Drosophila melanogaster: one gene and its partners. Changing the gene in region 2 together with the main gene of any one other region gives a genetic interaction. Each region holds a gene or a part of one and is shown on either strand. Other genes may lie near its edges. The genes, in order: dome, upd2, ebd1 and N.

The links.
Region 1: of upd2 (region 2) and dome, changing one suppresses a phenotype caused by changing the other (phenotypic suppression), as found in Drosophila melanogaster (one study listed by BioGRID).
Region 3: of upd2 (region 2) and ebd1, changing one suppresses a phenotype caused by changing the other (phenotypic suppression), as found in Drosophila melanogaster (one study listed by BioGRID).
Region 4: of upd2 (region 2) and N, changing one suppresses a phenotype caused by changing the other (phenotypic suppression), as found in Drosophila melanogaster (2 studies listed by BioGRID).

What each region holds. Positions count from the first base shown.
Region 1 is NC_004354.4:19,677,472-19,685,226, reverse strand, and holds the start of dome (domeless), read left to right. Parts: upstream 1-1,708; 5' UTR 1,709-2,256; coding exon 2,257-3,395; intron 3,396-5,896; coding exon 5,897-6,963; intron 6,964-7,045; coding exon 7,046-7,755. Other genes in the region: Ubqn (ubiquilin), read right to left, coding at 1-787, 1,131-1,226. UniProt on the Drosophila melanogaster protein: Critical for epithelial morphogenesis during oogenesis; border cell migration. Required in the germarium for the polarization of follicle cells during encapsulation of germline cells. Required for embryonic segmentation and trachea specification.
Region 2 is NC_004354.4:18,240,150-18,244,921, forward strand, and holds upd2 (unpaired 2), read right to left. Parts: upstream 3,136-4,772; 5' UTR 3,071-3,135; coding exon 3,049-3,070; intron 2,943-3,048; coding exon 2,416-2,942; intron 2,069-2,415; coding exon 1,931-2,068; intron 1,733-1,930; coding exon 1,199-1,732; 3' UTR 505-1,198; downstream 1-504.
Region 3 is NT_037436.4:682,383-687,095, reverse strand, and holds ebd1 (earthbound 1), read left to right. Parts: upstream 1-1,546; 5' UTR 1,547-1,948; coding exon 1,949-2,068; intron 2,069-2,404; coding exon 2,405-4,030; 3' UTR 4,031-4,211; downstream 4,212-4,713. Other genes in the region: hiro (highroad), read left to right, coding at 1-515, 569-754, 810-1,105.
Region 4 is NC_004354.4:3,133,141-3,137,916, reverse strand, and holds the start of N (notch), read right to left. Parts: upstream 3,048-4,776; 5' UTR 2,250-3,047; coding exon 2,090-2,249; intron 1-2,089. UniProt on the Drosophila melanogaster protein: Essential signaling protein which has a major role in many developmental processes. Functions as a receptor for membrane-bound ligands Delta and Serrate to regulate cell-fate determination.

The DNA of each region.
Region 1 (7,755 bases), 1.4 Mb from region 2:
CGGCGCCGGAGCCACCGACTGTTCCATTGGTTCCCGAATTGGCACCGCCCCATGGATTCGGCAGGGGATTGCGGTTCTCGGTGCCCTGCTGCGGGTTGTTGCCGGCTCCTGAACCGCCGCCGTCGACCAGGCCGGCAAAGGGGTTGCGACCAAAGGATTCCGTGGCCGCGTTCATCATTGGCTCCTGAATATCGCGGTAGATGCGCTGCAGGGCGCTATAGCCGCCCGGCACCGACTCCAGATTCGACATGGCGCGGTCGTGCGAACGCATCAGCTCCTGCAACATCGAGGGATTGCGGGCCAGCTCCATCGTCTGGCGCAGCAGGTCCGGATTGTTAAGCATATGCGAGATCTCGGGGTTGCGCTGCATCAGGTCATGCATTTGCGGATTGGACGTGATAAGCTGACGCATGGTATCCGGATTATTCATCATCTGCTGCACCATCGGGTTGTCCATCAGGGAGCGCAGCATGTCGCCATTGTTGAGCAGCTCGTTCTGCATGCGCGCCTGCAGATCCATGAACGTGTTCGATCCGGCTCCAAGTGCCTCCATTCCGGCCAGGCCACCGAATTGATTGAGGCCAAAGGGCGTTTGGCGCACGTCAGCCGGCTGTCGGGCCGGCTGCTCGTTGTTGCGCGTCGGCGCCTTAATCACCAGATGCACCGTCAGGTTGTCCTTGATGTTGTGCATCTGAAGGGTGTCCGTGTCCTTCATAATTTTGCCGGCAAAAATGAGCACGAGCTGCTCGGGCTCCGCCTCGAACTTTTGTGCAACCAGAATTTTGAACTGTGGGGCGAGAATGGTGTGATTGTTGTCATTATTATGTGCCCATGGTCTAGTTTCCCCTTTCAATTAAATGTTCGCTCCCATGCCTCTGCTTCAATTTATGTGTGTTAATGGGAAGAAGACCAATCACTGTGCAAAGTGCACTGTACCAGCTGCGCGTGTTGTGTGCGGCTTAGGCAAAGTGCACTGTACCGCGATTACGGGCACTAATTTCCCAATACTTTCGGGGGTGTGGGCAAAGAGCAGGGAGGGAGGGAGGTGGTCCATCGCTATGAATGGAAGGGTCCAGAAGGGTTTGGGGTACCAGCAACCAAGTCAGGCGGGTCACGTGCTCCGTACTCACATCTTTTATTCCAGAATCTTCGTCAACTTCGACCGTTTTCTTGTCCTTTGGCGTTTTTACAACCACGTTGATGCGCTTGCTGCCGCCTTCCGCCATTTCGATGGTGTATTTGCGGTGTTCTCGTTTAGCTTAATTTGCACCGATGTAGCTGGTTCTTTCGAGATGTTATCACGTCTGTAATTTAAATGTGTTCCGAATATATACGTGTTTTCACCCTAAATTATTTCCCATTTGATGAAAAGTAATTCGTCACTTTCTCACTCACACGGACACACACACACTCACGATGGATTTCGATTTTGACTCTTACACACGCCAGGGCTGACGTATCAACCACCAATCGATGAATCGATAGCGGCCAATTGAACGCTTTGAACGCGTCCAAAACCGCTGCCAAGTAGTTTGCTCTGCTTGAAAACGTATTCGGCAGAGGGCGTTCTAGAGATACAAGCAACGGGTGGCCTAGAATTCGAATTTCGGCTGAAATGCGATGTTTGGCACCTATCGCATTTAGTGGGGCCGTTCGTCGACAGGTAGCCCCAGTGATATCGCATATCGGACTGCGATAACTTTCGATAAGCGGTCACACTGCGGACAAGCAACTCGTCGACAACATATATCGTCAGCATCGCGAGCGGGGGCAGGGAGGAGAGCGATCGCCTTAGCCAACTGAGGATTCTGCATTTGCGAGAGAGCCAGAGACAAAACAGTAACACGGTACCACAGTTGCTCGAAGCGAGCAATTGGCATTGCAAGGCCCTGATAGCCCTATTCGTAATTTAGTCGTAGTGAAGCCCCGGACAAGAAGCCCACACCTGGGCAGTGAAATGTTTAAGAGCCACTTCCAGGAACGCAGCGTATAAACGGTTTCCGAGAACTGGCCACCAATACACAGCCAACAAGTGCGAGGCCAACAGCAAGGTGCTCTTGTGTGTGTGAGAGAGCGCCGTTTTGGTGTGCGCGCGTGTGTAAGAGCGAGAGAGAGACAGAAAGAGAGGAAAAGAGCTAAAGACAGAGAGACAGAGTGGGAGAGAGAGAGAGAGAGAGCCAGAGTAAACCTTAACAGCAAGGGAAGGAGGGGATTAGGATTAGGATTAGGATTGGGAGCAGAACCAGGACCAGGAAGATGGTGGCCCAGGAGCAGCTCGTCCTGCTGCTCATGCTGCTTGCCGGCTGCCGGGGTGGCGCCAACGCCATCTTGGATCCTGGCTGGGTGATTCCCTCCAAGGTGGAGCAGCTCATCGGCGGCGACTTTAATCTGAGCTGCACCCTCAACGAAGACTACTTTAACGGCAAGAGCGCCGAGGACTGCCCGGTGGAGAAGCTGTACTTTACAGGCGGCGGCCGCGTCTACCGCGATTCCAAGCACATCCGAATCCTGAACAACACCACCATCCTGTTTAGCGACACGAATGCCGTGGAGCAAGAGAACGACTACCACTGCATGTGCGACGAGTATGTGATCAACAAGTCAAAGGTCTACGTGGGCACCAGGCCGCTCCTGGTGCGCGACTTCAACTGCCTGGACTACGACTTCCAGTTTATGGTGTGCAACTTCACCCAGCCGCCCAACACGGTCATCACCAAGTACAACATCAGCTACAACACCAACAACGACTGGCGATATAGCAACACACTGGACTGCAACTTCGACTCGGCGCCAGTGGTCACCTGTAACCTAACCGACGACAACTACAAGCGCTTCAGCGAGACCTTCTACTTCCGACTGTCCATCTCCAATGCCCTGGGCCACGAGACGCAGCCGATCACGATCAATCACTTTGAGCGTCTGGTGCCGGCGCGACCTGGCCAGAACCTGACCCTGCTCAACAGGACCGAGAGCTCCGTGTGCCTGTCGTGGGAGATGCCCCGTCGGTCCAACTACAATCGCGGCCTGGTGTGGCAGGTGCGCGTCACGCCGCAAAACTTTGAGCCCATCACGCGGCCCAGCTGGCGAAACCACACGCTGACCATCAAGGACACGCTCTGCCTCACGGAGCTGCCCTTCGCCGGCTACAACTACACGCTCCGGGTGCGCGTGCGCGCCAACCAAAACAACACGCTCTGGAGCGAGCCCATGATTTATGCGTTCGCCACCGCTCCGGCGCCGCCGCGCCGCCCTCCTCGCGTCACCTACGGCAGCTTCTATGTCTACTCGTCGGAGAAGGCTATGCGCTTCTACTGGGAGCCCCTGGAGGAGCACGAGCTGAACGGACCGGACTTTCGGTACTCCATCAGCGAGTACCGCATCAACGGAACAGCAGTGTGAGTAGGAGGGGAACTGGGATGGTGGTTAGTACCTATATGTGAATATGAATATGCGCCGTAAGCTGCTTGGCAGCTAATTATTGGGGCATTGGCAAACCTGTCTCGAGTCACCGGAGAGATTCGCCGGAACGACGACTTCTTGCGAATACGTTAGGGCGAGCCACATAGAGCCATACGGCGTAGTATTTGCACAAGCACACACGCCGGGAGCCACATTTCCATTCAAGGGGTTCCGCTGAAAATGTTTATTTTTAACAATTCGTCCGAAGTGCCGATGTACATACATATGTACACACATGCACGCCAGTGGCGCGGCGAGGGCAGAAACACGTTCATTAATGGGAAGACGGCAGATGGGCGGCGGCATTCTGGGCGAATGCACTTCCACGGAAATCGGAGGAGGCAGACCCACCATTTCCCCCAGAATCGCCAGGAGTCTGTATACATAAGGTATACAGCAGACAACAGGCGTCTTCGGATTGCAAGGCGTGGCTGTAATCGTTGCCAAATCTTTGTCAACCATGGCAAAACTGAAGGGTTCTCCAGACGATTCTCTTGATCAGAAGACAGCAACATTCAATAGACGTGCTAAAAAAAAACACATATATATTTATAGTGTCAACCTACATGCGAACATTCATACATATATGGATGAATGATGTCTCTGGCATCCAAAGACTCGAGCAATACCAATCTTGGCTAGATAACAAGCCCAGCCGGTGACAATGGCAATTTCGAGGCCAAACATCTATGATATCAAAAGTTTTCTGACGACTTGCGATTACAATTTCGTGTGTAAACAAACACAACACAGTCTTCTCGTATTTTCATAGAATCATTCGAAAAGTGTTCAAAGGAAAACAAACAAATTGAGTTTGAAATTTGAAGAACAAAATATGGATTTATTCGAGAGCTATCTAGCGTAAAAAAAATGCTTCAAAATGCGCCAAGATTAATGAATATTTTCAGAGTATAAAACCCATTTGCTAGGCAATTTTTTTACCAAATTAGGTGTGATATTTTAGCCTTTTGCACATTAAATTACTTCGAAATTAACGCGTCGGCGTAGTGTTGTTTTTCTAAAAACCCTTTTCAAATATATGGTTCTAAAAATAAATTCATATAAATTTGATACGCAAAAGCAATTTGCACAGATTAAATACATGTGGGAAAATTATCGGTTCTTATCAAAAACGAAAAATAAATATTGAGTTCAAAACACAAATCCGAGCTTTTTCAAATCGTTTTCATTTTTTATATCAAAATTCAACGTCATTGGTTCGCATTTATTATTAAATACAAGCGAAGGAAAAAAAAGAGTCGATTAGTTATTGTGTTATCTACAAAAATTTTGTATTTTTGGGATTTTATAGATTTCGACTTTAAAATGTCCGCTCAGTTGTAAGCACTATATGCAAAGCAAATTTCAAATCCAGATTTTAAAAAGCGGATTCTCTTTGAAGTTTCAAAAGGGTTTTTTTACTAACAGACATTTTTGAACAATTTCTCCACTGGCTTAAGTAACGATAAGAATAAGATTATCTCTATACACAAACATATGTTCATTGGCAATATTTAAAAATATTTACGCCAATCTGGCTAATTAATTTTCCAATGAAATAAATATTGTTAAAATGCCGTAAAATGAGTTAGAAAAGTGAAAACAAAAGAAGGGATGGATCGAATTGGTTTCATGGAAATCTTGGGGTTGCAAAACGCAATTCCCATTTCAGTGGAATGATAGCTTTTGGAAAATTCCCTCAATAAATGACAACTTGCGTAGATAAATGCTCGTCTTTCCATGACAAATAGGATTGCGATTCCGAGAACTGCTGTTCCTTGGAATTAAATATTCTGAGTAAAGATTATACTGTTGTTTCAAAAATAAACCATACTTACATATACGTTGTGCAACAGTAACGATTTTACATCGGGTATTTTGGATCCACGTGATCCATGTGAACTCTCCCAAATGATCCTTACCCAGAAAAAAAATGTATTCCTAAGAATTGCGAGTGCCGTTTGACTGAAAATATAAAGAATTCAATGGATACTTTTGCTACCTTGCTAATCACTATATGTTTTTATTATTGTTTTTTTTTTTTTTTTGCTTGGTTTATCACATTAATATTTACCAAGAAAAATATAAATTTCGGTATAATATATACAATTATTGACCGCAGTTCAACTATTAAACCCAGCTTCGCTTGAATTATTAATCAGTATGTTTTGTTAATTTCATTGATATTATTTAATTGGAAAAAAGTTTCTTATCACAAATTACATAAACATTTTTTTTGTGAACCTAAACACAGATAGCAAAACAATGCTGTTCTCCGCCAACAGATGGCGCCCACGCGCACTTACATATTTGAAAAATTTGTTATGTGAGTACAGGGTAGCTGGTAGTCGAGACACTCTTCAATTGTCTAGTTTAGTAAGATGCATATCTTCATTACCATACATTAGCTAATATGATTATACCTCGACTCGTTCAGGGATCCTGGCCTCATCAAGGTGGAGTCCAACTCGGCGATGATCGATCACTGGAGCATGAGTGCCGTCCATCACTTCCTCATCCGCAGCAGCAATAGCCAGGGTCTGTCTGTGAACGCCACTCCGATGACGATCGGCCCCATTAGCAATCGGGACTTCAAGGTGCGCGAGCCCAGGAACATACGCAGCGTCTATCATCCGACCAACAAGAGCTACACGCTCAGCTGGGATCCGCCGAGCGATCAGCGGGAACTGCAGAACTACACCGTTTTCTGGTGCGTGCCCAAGCCGGGCCTGCAGTCGGAATGCGAGGGTTCGATACGCTTCGCGGAGGTCGCAAGCGGTCTGCATCACTTCACCACGTCACCGGACCAACTGCTCACGCTGCACATGGCCGTGTCGGCCAACTACCAATCGCATAATACGGGCCTACACTGGGCGATCTGCAGTAGCGACAAGAAGGACGATTTGGCCAAGATGGAGCCGTCGATCGATGTGGCCACCAGCACCTCACTGACGGTCAGTTGGTCGGAGCGCGTCTGCGCAGTGATCCTGGCCGGCTATAATCTGACCTACTGCCAGCGCTCGGCCGGCCGTCCGGACAATTGCACGACGGTGACCATCGATCGCTATACGAACAAGCACGTCATCCAGAATCTGGTGCCCTACACGGACTACAGTGTCAAGATGCTGATGTATTCGGACTCGCGGGTCAGCAAGTACAGCGACGAGCTGGTCAACCGCACCGGAGAGGCGGCGCCTAGCCAGCCGCGGGAGTTGCAGCTAATCCGCGTGACCAGCGACAGCGTGGAGCTCGCCTGGAAGCCACCGCTGCTGGCCAACGGCGTGGTGCGCGCCTACGAGGGCACCTTCCGCTCGCTACATGACAACGTGACCGATACATTCCGCGTAAGCGCCTCCGCCGACGAGCTGGTGAACAACGAGAAGCCCATCACCTACCGGCTGGGCAATCTCACCGCATTCACCAAGTACGAGATTAGCGTGCGTGCGCGGACCGTCTATCCATCGGAGCCCAGCAATGTGATCCTCTTCAGCACGGCCATCGGAGGTAAGTGCTATCGATGGTTTCGCTAGCATTGAAGCCAGTGTAAATAGGCAATGTATACTTATCCGTGTAATCCTTTGCGCAGTTCCCTCGCCGCCACAACTGTACGTGATCAACAATCCGGATCAGAGCTCACGTCTCGACTGGGAACCGCCAAGGACGCCGGCCGGACGCATTGATTTCTACGAGATCTCGCTGCGCGACAACAACGCCAGCTGCCTGACAAGCACCATTCTGCCGGGCAGGAACCTATCCTATGTGATGGCCACGCCGCGCTGCACCAGCCACAATCCCTTCCAGCTAGCGGTGCGTGCCATCAACGTGGAGCAGCATCCGCAGTTGAACGGAGCGGATGCAGCGGAAGGTGCCGTTTTGCTTATGTCGACCAACGGCAAGGGATGCGAGGCACGCACCGATGCGCTCGGCGAAGAGGAGCGGCTGCAGTTCGAGGCCTACGCTGCCAACATGACCGCCTACCGGCTCTACAGATCCGATTGGGGCATCTACGGATTCATCTGTACACCGGACACGCACAGCGTGAAGGCCATGTACCAGACCATTGAGGTGACCGTGGCGATTCTCGTGCTGGGCGTCATCTTCTACCTCGTGTACAAGAAATACCGCAAGATGTCCGATATCGGTCTAGTGCTGCCGCAGGGAATCATGGAGACCATGAAGAAGCCCATAGACATGGGTGGCCTGGGATTGGGCCTGGGTCCAGACTCGTCCGTCAGCGGAGGCATCGTGTGCACACGGGTGGACGACTCGCCGCCATACACGCCGCAGGATCTGCCG
Region 2 (4,772 bases):
TTGTATGTGCGTACTATTCATTCAGTTGTCAATCAATCACAGAAAATTGTTTTTATTCAATTACATTGACAATGTGCACTGTTTATTTAGTAGATTATTTTATCAGAAAGTTCAGCAAAAACATATCCTCTTACTTTTCTCTGCAAATTTGTCTTTAAGCTATCTGAATAACAGAATCTAAGTATGCTTAAATTTGCTAAAGTCCACGTAATTGATATTATAGTGAACAGCATATATATATGTACATATATAATTGGTCTGCAAGGGTATATCAATTTCGCCATGCCGAAGTTAAAGCTCTTTGTTAGTGAGTAATCAAAAGCTATTTAGTGGGGGGCTCATTAACTCATAAATGTGTAGATAAATACCTCAGCAAAAAAAGAACAGGCATAGACTTGTTCCGTTTGTATTTAAAAAATCTGTCTATTAGGGAAGTAATAAATCGCTATAAATTATAGAATAGTTATATACTGTTCCAAAAGAATCTGAACCATTTTGTTTTTTGTCTTGTCTAAGTTTATTTTGCACAAACTTACAACTAAGCACAAGAATGTCTGTACAATACTACGCTTCGTTTTCTTTCACAATCGCTTCGTGTTTTTTTTTTCACAATCACTAAGAACTATTCAAAAAAAGTACTTAAAATAAATCACAGTAGATTTAAGCATTTTTTTGTTTGTGGCTGGGTTTTTTGTTGGGCTTTTGCTGGCGAGTTTATCTCGCCGTTGCACAAATAAATAGGTATAAATACAATATTGATATACATAAATAAATAAATAAGTTACTACACATAGAGAAAAAAAAGAGTCCATATTCTAAATGGCAAATAAATAGTCGAGTTGGCACTGGGCCGCATGGAAGTGCAAATGGGAAATGGGTTTAAATGTAGTGGATTAGATTGGCTTGGTTTGGCAACTGGAATGGAAGGCGCTCTAATACTCAATACTCAATATTCAATACTCAATATTCAATAAATAAATAAATACTAAAAGTACGTGTCTAAATGGCATTCGACAAAAATTCTTCGTTCTCGCCCGCTCGATTGGTCGGGTGGTCCTCTATTTGGCTTGGAAGCTGCAGAGCTGGAAAGCTGCTAAGCTTTGGAATGTGCAGCTGTAAGTACTCGCTATAATACTGGAAGGGCGTGATGTTGACCCGGCTGGCCGGCTCAACTGGCTCAGAGCTGGGTGCCGAGGGCTCAAGACTCATTGGATCCGCCATCGGAGCCGGAACTGCCACCGGATCCGTTCGAGGAGCCCACGTCGAGCATTTCCGAGCTGCCCGCCCGCAGCCCGCTCGCACCAGTTCCGTGAATCGCCGCCAGGTGTCGCCGCTCGGCACTATTGCGTCGCGGTCGCCGCAGGACACGGTGCAGGGTCTTCCACACGTTGTTCAGATACTGGAAGTACAGCTCCTTGCTGACCTTCAGGTCGCGCTGGTCCGCCTCCATGGATCCGTTGGCTGGCGTGTGAAAGTTGAGACGCTCCTCCATCGCCTGCCGGCTAACGCGGCTCAGCTTCGCACCATTGCTGTTCGGATAGGAGGCGTTTATGGTCAACTCGATCTCGCAGAGCATATAGCGCGCGCTGACCAGCAGGTCGTGCAGCTCCTTGGTGACCGCCTCGTTGAGGCTCTTCTGCTGATCCTTGCGGAACTTGTACTGCGCCCGTCCCAGATATGAGAAGCTGCCCACGAAGGTCTGCATGTGGCGGTACCAAGTCTTTAGCTTCACCTGTAAATTGAGTAGAAGAGTGCTCGTCAGTGACTGTTGCATGTGGATGCTGCGCAGCTGGGAAGGGCATGCAAATGAGGCGGGCCGACTGGGAAACTGGTCTGCGCCGCCCAGGGCGGAGCAGGTCCGCTTCACTCTGTCTCACCGCCTCGGTTTGGATGGATCTCTTTGGCGCGGTCTGCATCGGTATCAACTTACCGCACTTGTGGGCCTCGTCATGTTCGGCAGGAACTTGTACTCGCGCTGCCAGTGCTGCAGATTGCCGTACTCCAGGGTGGCGCGGTGGGTTATATCTTGGTATTCGCTCATCGTGATGTTCCGCAAGTTTTCGAGGTGCTGCAAGTGGAGAGCGGGGGAAATCGATGAGTAATGCATATTGGCTGTGTGACAGAATTTCTCGAACGTTTCGGGTTCAACTAACTGCCTAAGTAGCTGTCCTGCTAAAGATGCTAACAGGACACACAACGCACAAAAGTATCTATGTATCTTAGTATCTATGAAGCTGCGTTGCGACTATGTAAATATAAACTGTTATCAAACAATGTAAGAAAAGCTTGGTGTAGGTTGCTTTCCTCCATTGCCCTTAAGTGCTGAAGCAAATCTAAGTGATAGCCAAGATTGAGGTAGGTCACCATCTCTCCCATTTAAATTTATATGTATAACATTTTGGATCCCCTGCTCACCTTGCGCTTGATAACTCGTCCTTGGCTGGCGCTGCTATCGCTGAGGCTCTCGTCGGGCGTGTAGGTGCCTCCGCACGGGTTCTCCCACTCCGGGATCTCTGATTTGCCGGAGAAGAGTCGCAGGTTGTGGCTGCGCGCGTGTCGCGTCCTCTGACGGCGCATCTCCCGCCTGGCAGCCCGGATGGCCGCCTGGGCGATCTCCTCGTAGCTACTCTCGCTGAGACTCATATCACTGTCGTAGCTGCCCTCGCCGAAGCTATCGGCCAGACCGCGATACGGATTGACATCGAAGGCGGGCAGGATGTCGCCACCCGATGATGAGGATGACGATGACGACGAGGAAGATCGGCCGGAGTTGTCCTCGTCGTAGGCGTAGTCCAGTGCCACCTGGTCGCGCAAGTGTCGCGCCTTGGTGAATGGCATCACGACGCTCAGGATCATGATCACTAGCAGCACCTGCCGGCTGTGGCAGCTCCAGCTGCTGTGTGCACTCCTGCTGCTGCGGCTGCTTTGGCTCTGTTGGCTGGCTGCAAGTGGTAGAGATGGTGGATGCGTTAGTGGATTGGCCATCGTATCAGTTTGCAATGGGTGGTGGGCGGTGGGGTGTGTGGTTTGGTGGAAATGCGGGCGTACCGTTTAAGGTAAAGGCTGGCATTGCGCCTATCACTAACACTACACTAACTGGGCTAACTTGGCTAACTTGGCTAACTGGCTAACTGACTGACTAGCTGGCTGGCCAACTATCACAATCGCTTGCTGCTGCTGCTGCTGCTGCTGATGCTGATCGCTCCACGGTCTCTCCCGCTCGACGGCTGATGGCTAAGTGACTGCGGCTGCAGCGGCGCTCGAAAATTTGTAAGCCTCCAGCCGCCTGGCGTCGCTCACGCATTCCCACTTCCACTCGACTCGGCTCGACTCATTCTCCGTGCCGATCTCCCAATCCCAATCGATCGCGTCTGCGAGTGCGAGCGAGAGCGCCCGAGTGAGCGAACGAGCGAGTGAGTGAGTGAGTGAGTGCAATTACAGCAGCCCGACCCGTTCGAGGCCTTGAGCAATTTTCTGATATGGTTTTCGAGCATTTGTCATGCTCTCAAAGTCAGTCGCACTGGACGGCCGTCTCTCGCTCTCTCGGCCGCCTTTTGGCTGAATTTCACCAGAAAGATTACTCATAGGTATTTGGGTTTTTTTTTCGGATTTCGGATTTCGATTTCGATTCACGACTTCCGACCCGATCCGACCCGACGCGACCATACCAGGCCAGACCAGACGCTACCCAGACGCTCTGCGCGTCGGCGTCGGAGTCTGCGGCCAACGGTGACGTAGCCAGCGTACCCACCCACCGCCCACCGCCCATAGCAGCGCGCTCGACCTTTGAATAATTCGTTTTGCCGCTCAGCAGACCGCTCGCTCCGCACCGACCAATAACAATCCAGCCAGCCGTTCGGCGTCTCTGTTGTCGTAGGTCAGCGACTTGATAACGACGCCGACTGAGCTGTCGGCGGTTCTGCGACTGCGATAAGGCACGTGCTGCTATAGTACTAGTTGTTGTTGTTGCTGTTGCTGTTGCTGTTGCTGCGGTTGGCCAAGTTGATCAGCTGGCCAAGGCCATAAACACTAATTGGTCGGTTATCGGGATATTGGAAAGTTCTGCTTGAACGCAATGCGATGATTAATGCTCTACGATCTTGGCCAACGAAAGTTGCTAGTGTTCTTATCATTCGAGGATGGAACTTGGTCATGCGAGGTATCTAGATAGTCGGGAAGAGGAAGGGCTTCAAGTTGACGAATCGATTGGCAAATGCCAACTGAATGGTGGGATTTCACTGCTACCATTTACAACTATCTACATATGATACATATTGTTGTATCAAAATTAAGCTGTTATTTTTATAAATTTGGTTTATAATTAACCTGTCTTTAATTGAGCCCCTTTTGGAGGTAACACCATCGCGCCTTCGCACATTCCACCTTGCCATTCACTAGCATTGGCATTAGCGTCGAAGCCGATTATTAACAGTTCGATCACTCGCCATCCGGCAAAGGGGATTCACCCCAGAAAGCCCAGAAAGCAAAAGGCACTAGTACACTAGCACACTGCCAAATAGGCAAACTGGCAAGCTGGCCAAGTTGAGCACACAGCATTAATCATGGGAACCGATCGAAGGTATTCCGTAATGGGCCAGTTAGCCAGCTAGCCAGCCAGTCAGCTAGCAAATCATCTTTTTATAAACAATTGCGAAATGAACGGGGAAAGTTATCTTCTAACTGGGAAAGCGGTGATCTAATTTCGCAGGGACTTTGCACCCAAACCGATCCATACTCACTGTGAAGTCGCATTTTTGGGACCGGATCACGTT
Region 3 (4,713 bases), on a different chromosome or scaffold from region 2:
TTTCAGCTACGTGGACGGATCTTCTTACTACACGACCAACAACAAGCAGATCGCCCTGGATCTCGTTGAGCTGATGAAGGGCTTCTACACAAACCACCCGGAATTCAAGACTGTGCCGCTGCACATCTTCTGCGAGAGTTATGGCGGAAAGATGGCCCCGGAGTTCGCTTTGGAGTTGGATTACGCCATCAAGCGCGGTGAGATCGAGAGCAACTTTGTTTCGGTGGCCTTGGGAGATCCCTGGACCTCACCCATAGACTCTGTGCTCTCGTGGGCTCCCTTCCTGCTGCAGTTGGGAATCGTGGATCAGGATGGCCATGACAAGATTGAAGCTTCGGCCCTGAAGACTAAGGACTATGTTGACCGCGAGAAGTGGACACAGGCCACTTTGCAGTGGAGCTCCACCCAGTCAGTGGTGCTGCGCGAGTCCAAGGGAGTGGACTTCTATAACGTGGAGACCCCAACATTGGGTGATCAGTACAGGTTGATGTCCAGAGCTGCCATGACTCCGGAGGGTAAGATCCGTTGCGTAACTTACCGAGCTGATTCTCATCAACCACTTATCCAGAGGTCATGTATCGCACCCTCGTGAAATTCGATGTGGATGAGGACCGCGACAAATTGCTGGAGGATCTAATGCTTGGACCCGTGACCGAGGCCCTCGGAATCAACACCGGAGTGAAATGGGGCGCCCAGAGCGGCACCACCTTCACCAAGCTGATGGGCGATTTCATGAAGCCAGCTGTGGATGTTGGTATGTTTCAACCGTCTGGGTGCTACCTCAAATTATAGCCTTATGACACTTTTAGTGGGTGAACTGCTGAACAACACCACCGTAAAAGTGGGCGTGTTCTCCGGAGGACTGGACCTGATTTGCGCCACTCCGGGAGCCGTCAACTGGATCGAAGCAATGGAATGGTCCGCCAAGCCATCTTACCAGGTCTCTCCGCGCGTGGGAATCACCGTAGATCGAGTTCTCGAGGGTTACGAGAAGACCTATGGCAACTTCAGCATGTTTTGGGTCAACCGGGCTGGTCACATGGTTCCTGCCGATAATCCCGCGGCCATGTCGCACATCCTGCGACACTTCACCAAATTCGGTTAAACAAATTAGCCGGAGAAAAGCGTTAAAATAAAGATTATTTTCGAAATGTATGGACTCGTGGGTTTCCAATTGGTGGTGGTTCGATTAATTTAAATTAAATATTGATTACAATTCGCAAAGACTTTATAGTTATATTTTACAGTGCAGTTAGTTGCAGATCTTGTGAAATCAATTCATTCTTAAACTGAAAACAAAATACATACATACATATGTATGTTCTCATTAATCTTACTCTACTTAAAAAGCGATCGCCTGCAGAGTTGCCACATGGCGAAAGTAACAGTAAAGTTGTCGCATGCGCAGTTGCACCCTCTCAGCTGGTCACACGCACACACACTCTCGCACACGCCGACTTCCCTTCCGTTCTAGTTGCCCACGTTGCGCATGCGAGAGCGAGAGAGGGAGCGAGCAGAGAATGAAAACTGCGCGAGATAACGCGGCAGCTATTTTTGTATGGGTCGTCGTCTAGTTCGCACGGACATCGGAAAATACGCAAGGTGCAGCGCACGGCCAGTTGGAAAATCACAATCAGAAGACAAATCGAGTGCCTAGGAAGAGAAAACGAAAGCGAATAGAGCCAAAGCGCATTGAAAGGCCAAAGAAAAGCGAGAAAAGCAGTGACGAAATGATTTGAATTCGCTTGACAGTCAACGCGCATAATCGTAGCCATCGCACACACACAGCCGCACGGACACACACACACAGGCGGGCGGGTGTGTGAGTGAGAGAGCAGAAAGGGTGCAAGGGGTGGGCGAAATTGAGTGGGCGCAGCAGCAGCAACAAAAACAAACAAGACGAAAACAAACGGCAATTGCCGTGTAAATTGCACGGAAAGCACAAACAATGCGGATACGCGAAAAACGCAAGTTGCAGAGGGAGCTGAGGGTGGAGAAGCGCGTGGAGAGGGAGAAAAAGGAGCACAAGGAGGCCTCCAAGACGCAGGACAACAACAACAAGGCGAAGGTAAGTGGCCACAGTCAAGCCTCGCAAAGTGTTTCCACCCCATTTCACTTCTCAAAGAACACGAGTGTAAATGACTTGATCTAGGCGTTTATTTGTATATAAGCTTGAATGAGTATGAGTATAAAAGCCCCATGTATTCCTTGAAACTTCGTCTTTCTTAACTGTTGCTTTTGTTAACATAACTAAATATGCAAAGACCTTCTGTTGTTTTGTCTACATTATTCATGTTCAGAGGGAGCACTGTATCTCTACATTCATGGTGGCATTACTTTGCACGATTTCAACTGTTACCATAAAACCCGGTAATAACAGCACTTTTTTTCCCTTCGTCGTTAGGCCACTGACACGGAGGTTCTCACACCAGCTCCTGCGCCTGCGCCTGCTCCACCAGCAGCACCCACTTCGACTGCATCACCCACACCCACTAGCACGCACACCCCCAGCCTGCCGGCCGCCGAGAAGGTGGCCTTCGACAATCGCATCAAGCGCAAGAATGTCCTGGCCCTCAACGAAAAGGTTGCTGCTCTGCGGGAATACGATCGGCTGCCGGTTTATAAGCACGTTGGCCGGCTGTTCAACTGCAGCCCAGATCAGATCAAGCGGATCGTGCAGCAGCGCGCTGAGATTCTGAACGCGTGGGATCAGCGAACCCGCAGGAGCCAGGACGCCAAGACCATGGAGACGAAGACCGTCAGGGTCTCGATGTTGGGCAAGGCCGTGTACGATTGGATACGCCGCATGATGTACTACAAGGACTTCAGCATCTCCGACGGACTCATCCAGAAGATGGCGCTGCAGTTCAAGAGCTCCATGAACCTGGCACATTTCTTTCCGCACCAGGAGTGGTGCGACAAGTTCAGACGCACCTACAGCATCCAACACAGCGACACCAGACTGTTGAAGATAGGCTACACGCAGGGCTACTCGGTGCAGATCAAGGACATCGTCAAGGACGTCATGTCGGAAAGCATGCCGGAAAGTGGGCCACGGAACGGCGAGGAGGATGACGAAGAGGTCAGCTTGGGCAGCCCGGTGAGCAGCCATCCCCGCAGCTATGTAGAAGACGAGGATGACGAGGTGGATGTCGACGGTGGCGGTATTAGCGGCGAGGATGATCTGGAGGAGGAGCCTGATGTCAAGCCCTCACTAAGCGAACTAAATTTTGCCAGGGCTCTGAAGCCCTTGCCGCCTCTAGTTAGACTGCCCCTCCAAGCTAACACACCGCCAGGCACCACTCAAAAAGTTCTCCTGGCCACACCCATTGTTCCGACGCAAGCGGGCGGACAGCCCATGACCATGACCATCATACCACTAGCCACGCTCGCTCAGAGCATCACCAAGATTCCTGCCCCACAGCAGCAGGACAAAGGACCGGTGGTACCGCCGCCCAAACTAGAGATCAAGCAGGAAAAGGAAATCAAAGTGGAGCCCAAGGACCCGGAAGAGCTCCTGGCGAAGCAGCCCGAGGCGGAGCTCCAGGAGAACGATGACCGAGCACAAAGGGAAAAGGATCTTGAAATTCCGCCTACAGTGCACATAAAAGTGGAGCCAGAGGCTGAGCTGGAATCGGAACTGGACCAAGACCCAGCGGATCTCGATGAAGACGCGAACAATGGTCGCTCCAGTGTCACCTCGCTGGCCGAGGTTCTGGCGGCCAATGTGGAGGACGAGATGGAGTACATCGAGCAGATGCGGCAGCGAAAGGTGAGTTCGCCTGCGGCAGTTGAAAACTCGCTGAATCCTCGCCAGGGCACCAAACGTCGCTATGAGTCCGCCCAAGACGATAACAACAATGGGGGATCCGGCCAAGAAAGTGGGTCCAGTGTCATCAGCTGCGCCGATGCACGCAAGTACCTAAAGCTACTCGAGGAGTTTGCTCTGTACAAGGAGAACTACCGGCTGATTGAGCTGATCACACGAGCCGATGAAGTGATGCGCGAAATGGATGACAATGTGCCGTAGAATGCTCCAAACAGTGAGCGCCACATGAAGGAGAACGAAGAGGAGGAGGAATAGCTGCAGCCAAAGAGTGTAATCTTTGCAAACTGATGCATCTAGAAGATGCACATCGGTCGGATGCAATCAATCATTAGATCTAAGGTGAACATAATTTGTATTCGAACCAAATAAACGCAATCAAACCAAGTTTCTAGTGAGTAAATTTGATGTGGTTATAAAATATTGTGATGAATGAGCTAATGTCAATTGTCAATTGGTCTGTTGGAACTATTTTATACTATGCTCCCGACTGTAACCCTATTATTTTGACCTGTGTTGTATGTTATAACAGCTACATTTCCTTCCACACATTCTCGCCAGAACAAAAAGTCGGCTAAATATACGCGCTAATTGTTTTTTTTTCGAAGTGCGCATGTCTGCCCTTAGTTGGGCTTCTTCTTCTTTTTTTGCCGGGCGGGAGGTCACCCACACACACACACACAGGCGAGCCAGAAGAGAGAAAGAGACAAAGCGCATGTAAATGAAAATAACGGAACAAAGAGGTCAATCATTGAATTCTATCTTGTTAAAGAGAGAATTTCCCTGATTCAGAGTGTATTTTAAAATTTTCCCTGATCAGTGTGAAATTTTGGAGAGCGAGTTAAAATAAATTCATACTTTGCTGATGATTTCCTTATGCCGACAAT
Region 4 (4,776 bases), about 15 Mb from region 2:
TCGTTTATTCCAACTACATTCTTTCTATATGCGCCTGGTTGTGTACATATATGATGAAATCGAATGCGGTGGTTGGTTCTGGTTCTCGTTTCTCGAAACCGTTACGTGCCACATTAAACCTGCAAAAAAATAATACCCTAAATTTGTGGCTAAATGCAGGCGTTCGATCGCACAAAGTTGAACAAACTTGGATTGGAGCTAATGGGGCGTAAATTTGTGAGAACTTAATAGGTACAAAAATGTACATGAAGATTCGAGAGATTTTTGTTTTTTTTTTTGGTTTTTTTTTTCCATCTTCGAACACTTTTTTCTTAGCGCAGTAGTAGAATGAAGTGAACTGAATGCAAAGGATGCCCTTTTTGTTTTTGCAATATATCCTGGCATCAATTAACACTCTTATTATTACTACTTTCAGCATTTTTTTCACCTTTATATGCATATGCATTTGTATACTTTTTTATACCGTTTATTTAACTTTTACTACAACTTCCTTTGGCTAAAACTGCAAAGATCACACGATTACCCATGGCTAATAAAGCCAGAAAAAAAAAGAGTTTAGGAGGCGGAAACTCGAGCTCAGGAAATGCCCAGGTAAAAGTTATAAACATAATAGTTCAACGCTCTTCGGTTGCAGCTGTTAAAAAATATAAAAAAAATAGCAGAGATCATGGAGTGCGTAATAATAAAGTTGCCCAGTGCTCAGGGATCAAATTTCTAGTAATGATCATTTAATTGCTTTTAAACGTTTGATGGATTGATGGATTTCGATAGATTTTCGAATAATGAAACAACAAAAAATTCTCTGACATTATCAAATTTGTTTCAAAATACTATGATATCGAGCTGCATTCCCCATACTTTCTCATCGTTGAGCCGAGAATTCCGTCGAAGAGATTTCGAGTTCCATGGAAAGTTGACATTTTACTGGGGCAATCGACCCTAAGTACACCTACAACCGATCCGATCCGATCCGATACGATTCGGTGTTTGTTCAGTGATTAGACAACGACCGCTCCATATGCAAATACCCAAGTAAGCCCCATGTGCATGCGGCACAACACAGCGTGTGGAGGAGGAGAGTTCGCTTCCAAAGCTGGAAAGGAAGTTGGCCACTCACTACTAGCGAGCAAATAGCGCAGTGAGAAAACACAAAGGAAAGAGTGCCTAGAGTGCTAGGGGAATGGAAAAACTCGCCTTTTGCCGACGGTAAAAACGGTCTTTCTTGTTTCGAAAAGGTGGGTTTCCAAATCTGAGAGAGCATGCGCAGTCGGCGGAGAGCGAGACAGCGACAGCGATCGAGCGAGAGCGAGAACGAGATCAGCGAGACAACAAGGAGAGAGAGAGAGAGAAAGAGAGAGGAAAAAAAAACGACCACCTGTCCGAAAAGCGACAACAAAGCGAAGCCAAGGAAGACAGCGCAAAAGGAAGCGCGGTGAATACAAGCCATGAAAAGGAAGGCGAAGAGCGAAGAGGAGCTGCCCAAAAGGGAGACAAACGAAGAGGATCGAAAAGGGAATGGAGAAACACAGAGAACGCATTTGGGAGCGGATTCCGACGATTGCGTTTAAAGTGAAATTCTTTAAGGTAGGATTTGCAACAATCCTATAGGCTTATTAAGCAGATTAAGTAGCATCACTTCCTTTTTGGATTACAGTTGCATGGGTTTGCTCAGTCACTTATATGTGTTGCGAATGCATCCGATTTTATAGACCAACATTTCCTAGCTATGCAATGTAGCGATCTATCCAACGGGTTTAAGCGGAACTAGTCCAATGCAAATGTATGTATATTTTGTAATTGCAATTTTAGTTGTTTCATACTAAGTATGCTCCATTTAAAACTGACATCTAAGACCAAACAATTATGCGATTCAGTACTATTAGTTGAGATCCACATCTTTCAGCTATACAAGATCATCTTATCTCATAGTTTTGGTTCTGTAAAAAACCGTTCTTTGGCAAGCGTTTTGGAACGTTTTGAGCCTCCTGGAATTCCAGTTTGTGCACCCACCCTATTTTCGGGCGACCCCGCCTGTCACCCTGCCCTCCCCCCGCCTAGTTGTTCTGATCGGCGTCTCCGCTTTACTCACCAGTTCCGCGAACGGTGTTTGGCAAATTCGCAAACGCCAGCGTCAACAGCAGCAGAGGCAGCGACGCCGGCAGCGACGCAACGGCGTGCATTTTGTTAATCCAAAAACAAATCCAAGTGTTTGGTGCGCGACTGCGACGTCGGCTGCGCTGCGATTGCATTGTAATCCAGTTTTCCAGTTAACCACTTTTCCAGTTTTTCACCTCTACTCGCTTCTCGGTTTCTTTAGCGCTCCTCTTTGGTCTCTCTTTGAGGATATGTTTAACTGCGAGTTTAGGTTTAGTATGCTAGTCTCAGTAGTTTAAGCAATTTTTTGTTTTAGCGCGTTTGTTGTTTTTTTGTTTTTTTTTTTGTTTTTTATAGTTTTGAACTTCAGACTTTAAAGCTTTATTTGATAAACTAAGAGGAGGCACTCTCCCGACGACGGCGACATTTTCCGTTTTGAAACATAAAAAAAAAGTGGCAAAAAAAGAACGCTTTTCGTGTATCTTTTGCTTGCTTTTCTCTTCGCGAGGATCGAGCCACAAATTCAAATTCAAACCGACGCCGCACGCTTGCGTATTGCTCTCTTCCTCTTGCGCTTCTTGCACTCGGCTTTCGTCTCACTCTCACACACGCGCGACTCGAGGTAGATACACTTTTCGAAAATCCTTGTTTCTCTCCCTCTCTCTCTCTCGCTCTCTGTGTCGCTCTCTCGTTGCTATCCCTGCGACAGGCACTCCTTGCTCTTGCTGAACGGCTTTCCCGCTGGGGCCATCCTTTTCATTTCATTGCATTTGCTTGCTGTGTAATTGATTTGTTTGTATATCCTGTTGGCAGCGCGATTTTACGTGCGTTGTTGCACACACATTCAAAAAAAAAATAAATGTTGAGAACTGTGCTCTGCGCTTTCCAGGTTCGTCTGCCTAACGCTCGTCCGCTTTCACAACCGTTTCGTCCACTGGAAAAAAGCGATCTGTTTCAAATCGGCAGTGTGACCGCGTCGGTGCAAGAAAAAGATACCGTATGGCGGGGAGCCATTTTGGCAGCGCGCTCTTTCGCAGCGTTGCGAGATCGGTTGGTGAACAAATAACGTTAGCCGGGCTCCGAGCCGCTTGCATGAGTAGTTTCCCCATTTCGCCGAATGGCGCTTTAGTGCCGTCATAGCGGTATGTAGAAATTACGCTATGTAAAATGTAAAATTCGACAATGTAAGATTCGTAGAAATTACGCTATGTATAATGTAAAATTCGACAATGTAAAATTCGTAGGCACTGGAAAAAAATGTGCATAAATTTGATTGAAAAACGCACTTGTAGCATTTTTTAAGTATTTTATTTTCCTTTTGTTCTCGTATCTTTATTTCAACTAATTTGAGTTGTTCTCGACTTAAGTTAGGTTTTCCCGCAATACGTTCTTAGTTTTCATTTTCCGTACCTTTTTTTTTCGCAACTCCGCTTCCTGCAATTATCATACTTTACTTGGCTTAATAGGATTTCATTTGAATTTCATTTCGTTTCGTGTGTAACGTCTATATAATTGAACGCTTAATTGAATCGTTTGACAATTATCGAAAACAAAAAAAAATATGTAACACCATACTTATCTCCGATTTTCGGAACGCTATCCCAGTTAAAAAGCTCGGCGCAATTGGCCCACGGAAAGAATAGAATTAGATTCGAGTGTATAAATCAGTTTAAACGAACGGGCATTATTTTTAAGCATTTTCAGAATTACTTTAGATAAATACATACATATGTATATTCTCGAAAGAAACAAAAAATAAAATATGAAACAATAAATTAGTTAATTAATTACAGTATTGGCTTAGTGAATTAAGAACCCAACGAGGAATCATAAGGCAGCATTTCGTGTTAAAAATTGAACGCTTTACACTTAATTGCGTTTTTTTTTTTTTTGGTAGATCGCTCAAATGTTTTACAAATTGTTTCTAAGCTTTTTAAGTTTTTCTTTTTACCTTTAAAATTCTTCATTTACGTCTATAAATAGGCTTAAACCTAAACTAGGCAGACAAAAAAAAAAAATTACAAACATTCTCTCTAATCTTAGCTAGTCATTTTTTAATTCAAGCGTTGACATACACATTTATGCTCTATATATATATATATATATATATATATACGATATACAATATTTCATTTGCTTCTTTACATAATTGATTTAAGTTCAAATATCATTTACGCGCTTAGGGCTAGACAAAAAAATATTCAACTTTTCACATGGATGCTGAAATGCTGTGCCACTGAAAACCCGATCAAAAAGTTGGAAAGTGGGAACTATATATATATATATATATATATATGTTGGTGGTTTTTCTAATTTTATTCACTTTACTCGTAAATCACCAATATTTGGACATCTTTTTGTTTTTAGTTTTTTGCGGCTTGGGGATTATCGATTAAATTGCAATAATACTGTAGCATCCCGTAAAAATATAGTTTTCAATTCAATTTCAATTTTGTTTGTTTGTGTGCAAAATAATAGTTATATATGTTACTTTTGGCTCTTCTTGACCGGGTCACAGATGCAGCACAGCACTTAATCTAAATATTTTCTCTCACTGCATTCAGTTGGTTTCGTTTGATGTATACGTAATTAAGTCTAAAAAATTTGATAAATTTTGGCTTAGAAAATTGTTTTTGCTTTCTGCTGCTGCTGCTTTACTTTTCATTTTCGTTTGCTTTTATA